Linked DNA regions of Elephas maximus indicus. The protein of the gene in region 1 purifies or fractionates together with the protein of each later gene. This does not show direct contact. Links are inferred from orthologs where the notes say so. Each region holds a gene or a part of one and is shown on either strand. Other genes may lie near its edges.

Region 1 (2,740 bases):
AGGGCAATGCCATCAGCCCCTGGGAGCAGGCCCCACATCCTCCCCTCCCCAGGGGGGTGTCAGAAGCTGGGAATGTGTGTGCCCATCCTGTGGGCAGTGCTGCCCCTTGCAAGCCATAATGTGCCCCCAGAGTGTAGGGGGCCTTGCGGAAGCCATACGGGGCTCCAGGGGTGGTGTGGGGGGCAGAAGCCTGATCTCAGGGAGGGAAGGGGGTGGAGACTACAGTCTCCCAGTGGGTGATGCTTTTGCTGCTGCTTAATCCGACCCCCCCCTCCAGAGCAGAGGGGGACTTGGAAAGCAAAGGCCTTGCCCCCTTCGCTCCTCTCCTCATCATTTGCATTGGGCATTACTGCCCCGCCCCTTGAAGCAATAACTCCAAGCAGGCTCCAACCCCTGGACCCCCTGGGGTGGCCAGAGCCCCCATTAGCTCCTACCCGGCCTCCTCAGGGGGTAGGGAGAGCACTGCCTCTATGCCCTGCAGAGCAATAACACTATATTTATTTTTTGGTTTGGCCAGGGAGGCGCAGGGACATGGGGCAAGCCAAGGCCCAGAGCCTTTGGCTGTACAGAGACTCTATTTTAATGTATATTTGCTGCAAAGAGAAACCGCTTTTGGTTTTGAAACTTTAATGATAAAAAAAAATATATCCTATCGAGCTCAAGAACACTCTGTTCGGTGTGTCACTGGGCGGACGGTTGAAGATGCACACGACAAAGCCAGCAAACAATATACAAAAAAGCAAAGATACACACGGTTCCCGAACGAAAAAGGGGTGTCTGGGAAATTTAAGTCTCGGTTTCCTCATCGTTCAGCAGCATGTTGGGGATCCCGCGGCTGATGGGGAAGAGACGTCCGGACTCTGGGCATTGGAGGGTGCCCTCCAACACGTCCACCTGCGGGGAGGGGTGACAGCTGACACTGGCGGCCTGGGGCGGGGTAACGGGGGGAGAAGGTGGTGCGCCAGTCTCACCTCCAGCAGCACGTGGTGCATCTTCCTCAGAAATTTTTCATCGCGCTCGTATCCCTCAGTCGGCGCTTTGGGGACCTCGACCAGATGCAACTGCGGGCAAGAGGCCTAAATCATGTCTGGGCATCCCTGACCTTCCCCCTCGGGCCAGAGCCAGGTCCCGGGGGAGCGGGGTGACCACCCCCGGGGTGTCCACGGGCGGGTTCTCACGGTATCTGCCGCCTCCAGAAGAGCCGCCCACTCCACCTTGGGTATCATCCGCGCCACGAAGTCGGGGTTGAACTCCACGGGGTTGATGCGGACCTCGGTGGCCTGCAGGGCGGATCGGTGAGTTAGGCAGGACGGGACCCCTGCTTCCCCATCCCACCTGGGCGAGGCGCAAGAGGACCCCGGGCAGGTACCTGGAGCCGCAGGGGATAGCCGCGGGGCCCCACCCCCCGCACATGCGAGCTCAGCAAGTTGTGGGTGAGCAGCTTCATGTCGCCACTACGCGCTCGGGCATAGACCGGAGCCGGAAAAAGGCCCGCACCCCGTGCGTCACATCCGGGGCTGCGCCACTCTATCCCATTGGACGGCCGGGAGGACCGGAAGCGGCGAGCTTGCTGGAAGTACTCTTGCCTCTCGCCAGAGCTGTGGGCCGTAGAAACCGTCGGATCACGCGCCGCCGCCGGAAGCGTCCGCTCCTGCGGCGCACGCCCACTGGTTTTGGCGGGTCCCAGCCTCCCCCGGCTCCTGGAGTGTAAGTCACTTGTGAAACAATTGCGGTGCAGGGGGCCGCGTTGAATGCAAATAAACGTGGTTTTGCCTCTCACACAGGCGCCTGACCGCCCTCCATCCAAATAGAGCGGGACCTCCCCTTTTATGCAAATAGCTGCGGGACTGCCGAGTGCTCCGCCCCGTTTGTAATTGCGGCGTGGCCCCTCCCCGTATGCAAATAAGCGGAGTCGCGGTAGCTTGGTCCCCAGCGCTGCAGCCTACTGGCCGGTGGGCGGTCGCTGGAGGCCCGCGGAGCAGAAGCCCCACCTTTCACAGGCTCTGGGGTTCGCTCGCTTCGGGCCCCGCCTCCTGCGGGGGTCGGCCCGAGAGACCTGGCGGTTGCTGTCGCAGGGCTGGGCATGGGGCTGGCGGGGTTGCGCGTTCTGGGCGGTCCAGCGGGTTTGGTGCTCAGTGGGGCGGCCGTCGTTGAGTCTGCAGCAGCGGCAGCGGTGGGAGCAGGACGGCGACCGGGAGGAAGAGGAGAGTGGACGCTTGGCGGGACTCGCAGTTTCAACAGAGCAGCCGCAGCCATGGCCCCGATCAAGGTGACCGCCTGCCTGGCCGGACCCGACCCCGTCTCTTCCCAGAACCGCCACCCGTCCCACTCGTCTGGGGGTGTCACCCTCTGTTTTGCCCTTCGGAGCCCTCCCGCCGCTGGTCCCCTCACCCTTCATCAAGACCGCCCTGACTGCTCCCACCCCCTTTCTCGCCACAATTTGGAGCTTCGTGCCCTTTTTGTCCGGGAACAGTCTAGGGCCTTCTCGTTCCCCCATCTTCTGGGACCATCTCCTTCGCCCCAGGGCTCCCTCCCCACTCTCCGCAGGTTCCCCACCGTAACCTATCCCACACTTTTGTCATTGCAAGGCATCGCTCTTCACCCCCCCACCACCCCCGCTTAAACAATTGTTGACCCTCAGAGCCTGTTTTTTTTTTTTTTTGCCCGTTCTCCTCCGCGACATTTTTCCCTCTACCCAGAGTTAATTTTCATCTTTCTGTTCAGTCTTTTACTCCTCTCG
Region 2 (3,755 bases), about 120 Mb from region 1:
TACAGTAATAGATGCATTTTATCCTCCTAACAAAGGTATGAGATAGACACTATTATTATACCAGTTTTACAGATGAAGAAACTGAAGCACAGAGATGAGAACTAACTCAACAGGTTCATACAACTAATAAGTGGTAGACCTGAGATTTGACTCCGAACTGCTGTGTTATATTGCCTCATAGCACCAACGAGATTCTGGGGAAACTAATAAAAGTATGATTTAATCCCTGTCATCAAAGTGCTGGTAGAGTATTGCAAGGCAACAGACATTAGAATAAATAATTACAATTAGTGCTATGTTAGAAATATCCATTCAGCTATCCCCTTCCTGTCTAGTGATCACTTCAAAACCTGTCTGTAATCTCAGTCTCTCTCCTGAGAGCCACTTCGTATTGTCATCTACTAGCCAGACATTGCAACTGTAGATCTCACTAGTAGTTCATCTATGATATATCCTAAATCTGACTCATTACCTCCCTTACAGAGCAGCTCATCCTGACTTTCCAGTTTTGAAATGACATCACTAGTCTCTTAGTCACTCAGGCTCCAACCTAGAAGTCATCTTTGATTTCCCTCTCCTCACTTCTGGGTGGTCATCAAGGCCGATTGATTCTACATGACTCCCGCCTTTGCTTTCTTCCTGCTGCCTCCACCCTAGATCAGGCCAGCATTTCCACTTGTCAAGCTGGATTACTGCAGGTTCCCATGCCTCTCATCTCCCTTCTGTGCTCTCCAGCCAGCTTACTTTCCCAGCCTTAGCGCCTGTCATGCACTCTGTGTGCTAGTTAGGCTGGTCTGGCTGTCTTTTCCATAGGCCTGGCATTTTCCTTCTCTTGAGATTTGTAATTAGAGTTTTGCCTGTCTTGTTTGTGAGGTGTTTTGGAATATGATTTAACTCTCTACATTCAGTTTGTAACTTTGAAGACTTTAAAAAGTGTGCAGAGAGTGGGACCATTGGGTTAGCAAACACTGTGCTCTGAAAACTATGCTTACCTCCTCTGTCTTTGCCAGACTTGTCCATTTTTCTTTGTAGCTTCTGTTCTTTATAGCTTTACTGCATATTTTCTTTCCATATGACTCCATATTCTTCTTATTCTTCAGTATTCAGCCAAATTCTCTTCTGTTTTGAAGTCTTCCCAAGTTTTTCCAGTTTTTTTTTTTTTTTTTTGTCTCTAATTCACGTCACACCTAAATACTGTGCTATTAGCACTTAATTGTATAAACCAGTTGCCGTTGAGTCGATTCTGACTTGTGGCAACCCTATGTGTGTCAGCTAGAACTGTTCTCCATAAGGTTTTCAGTGGCTGATTTTTTGGAAATCAATAGCCAGACCTTTTTTCCCAGGTGTCTGTAGGTGCACTCCAACCTTACAGTTAGTAGCTCAGTGTGTTAACTGTATTACCAAGATGTGTCATACTCTTTCATTGTTTAGTGTTTTTCTGTTTTCCTGAACTATATGTGTATTTCTAAACACATATAGACTTATTTTTAGATTTCAGACTTTATGTAAATGGAATCATACTGTGTGTGTGTATACATACAATATGAGATATATATATACCCGCGCACACACGTACACATATGTACACATATCTATTAGATTTGGTCCTAACAGTGTATTTGTGAAATTTGTGGCACATTGTCATGGATTGAATTGTGACCCCCCCCCCAATTTGTGTCCACTTAGCTAGGGAATGATTCCCAGTATTGTGAGGTTATCTTCTGTTTTGTGATCTGATGTAATTATTCTATGAGTATAGAGACCTGGTGGCACAGAGATAAAGAGCTCAGCTGCTAACTGAAAGGTTCTGGCAGTTTGAATTCACCAGCTCCTCCTTGGAAACCCTATGGGACAGTTCTACTCTATCCTGTAGGGTCTCTATGAGTCAGAATCAACTTGAAGGCAAAGAGTTTTTTTGTAAATCCTAACGTCTTTGGTATTAATGAGGCAGGATTAGCAGCAGCTATGTTAATTTTTTTTATGTTAATTAGGCAGGACACATTCTATAGGATTAGGTTGTATTTTGAGTCAATCTCTTTTGAGATATAAAAGAAAGAAGCAAGCAGAGAAGAGAGGGACCATCTACTACAAGAAAGAAGAGCTGGGAGCGGAGCATGTCCTAGGACCTGGGGTCCCTGCACTGAGGAACTCCTAGACCAGGGGAAGATTGATGATAAGGACCTTACCCAGAACTGAGAGAGAGAGAAGGCCTTCCTATGGAGCTGGAACCCTGAATTCGGACTTATCACGTTCTAAACTGTGAGAGACTAGATTTCTGTTGTGGTATTTTTGTTTTACCAGCACTAGGAAACCCTCGTGGCATAGTGGTTAAGTGCTATAGCTGCTAACCAAGAGATCGGCAGTTCAAATCCTCCAAGTGCTCCTTGGAAACTCTATGGGGCAGTTCTACTCTGTCCTATAGGGTCGCTATGAGTTGGAATTGACTCGACGGCAGTGGGTTTGGTTTTGGTTTTTGGTTTTAGATAACTAAGACATACGTTTTACCAAGGATTTCATAAGTAAAGAGATACATCACCTCAGGGTAAAGTAGCTCACTTAATGGACCTAAAGTATTAGAATGTTTTTTAGAACCCCTGGAGATGCTATTGGATGTTCTTACCACTTTGTTACTTTCTTAGACGTTACTTTATTGTCTGTGGATCTGTTTATTCTCATTTCTTGGTAAAAGAAAAACCAAGAATTTTTAAAAATTGTCACAGAAATATTTCTAAACTGTAGAATGTATGAACAGCATCATTATAATTGATATTGACACTTTTTAGTCTTTTTTTTTTCAGTATTGCTATGGACGGCAACCATCAAAGTGATCACAAACGCAGTAAAACTGAGAAGAAGTTCTTAAGGAAACAGATTAAAGCCAGGCACACTTTGCTGAGACACGAAGGCATTGAGACAGTGTCCTATGCCACTCAGGTGACCTAAAACTACTATGATCGTTTGAATGTAAATGTATTGCCATAGTAACCTATTGTATTAATATATGCTAATAATTTCTCAGAGAAAAAGCCTGTAATTATTTAGTCATGTGTTATATCCGTATTAAATACACACATGATCAAAAAAAACCATTGCTGTGGAGTGGATTCCGACTCATAGCAACCCTGTAGGACAGAGTAGAACTGCCCCAAGGGTTAGTTTCCAAGGAGCAGCTGGTGGATTCAAACTGCCGACCTCTTGGTTAGCAGCTGTAGCACTTAACTACTGTACCACCAGAGCTCCATACATATGATAGGACCTGCTAACTTTCTACTTTTGCTCTAGTTTGTAGCCTAGTCTATGGATTCAATTCCCATTAATTGTGTTAATTGAACTGAAGAAAGTTGTGGGTATATATTAACAATGGTAACACTGTACATCTCTTTTCATTTTCCAAAGTATAATTATGTTTATTATAATATTTAATTCCCTAAACATCCCTATGAGATAGGCGAGAACACTAAGGTTCTGAGTACTTGTGATGTGTTTATTAATATAAAGTGGGAAGTAGGTAAATAGACACTTAAAGCTACGTCTTTTGTGTCCTAATGCGGTCTTCTTTTTTCCGTACTCAGCTTCATCTGTAGCATAAAAAAGTGCTTTGATCATATGCTACAAAACATTTTTCACTTGTTAGATTTTATTTACAAAGCCTTTTCATTATCTGAAGGCAGCAAGTAAATGAGATAATGTATATGAGGGACATGAGACTTCGTAAGGAGCCCTGGTAGGGCAGTGCTTAAATGCTCAGCTGCTAA

The links. Proteins that work in one complex are often made in the same cells at the same time.
Region 2: the proteins of TRMT112 (region 1) and ALKBH8 purify together in Homo sapiens (co-immunoprecipitation; 3 studies listed by IntAct, with this or other methods). This does not show direct contact. The link is inferred for Elephas maximus indicus from reciprocal best matches to the Homo sapiens genes TRMT112 and ALKBH8.

The regions. Positions count from the first base shown.
Region 1 is NC_064825.1:127,493,993-127,496,732, forward strand, and holds TRMT112 (multifunctional methyltransferase subunit TRM112-like protein), read right to left. Parts: upstream 1,547-2,740; 5' UTR 1,448-1,546; coding exon 1,370-1,447; intron 1,281-1,369; coding exon 1,179-1,280; intron 1,077-1,178; coding exon 972-1,076; intron 895-971; coding exon 787-894; 3' UTR 633-786; downstream 1-632. Other genes in the region: PRDX5 (peroxiredoxin-5, mitochondrial), read left to right, coding at 2,084-2,269. UniProt on the Homo sapiens protein: Acts as an activator of both rRNA/tRNA and protein methyltransferases. Together with methyltransferase BUD23, methylates the N(7) position of a guanine in 18S rRNA.
Region 2 is NC_064825.1:12,297,545-12,301,299, forward strand, and holds the start of ALKBH8 (alkylated DNA repair protein alkB homolog 8), read left to right. Parts: upstream 1-1,530; 5' UTR 1,531-2,170; coding exon 2,171-2,259; intron 2,260-2,783; coding exon of another isoform or gene 2,784-2,798; coding exon 2,799-2,934; intron 2,935-3,755.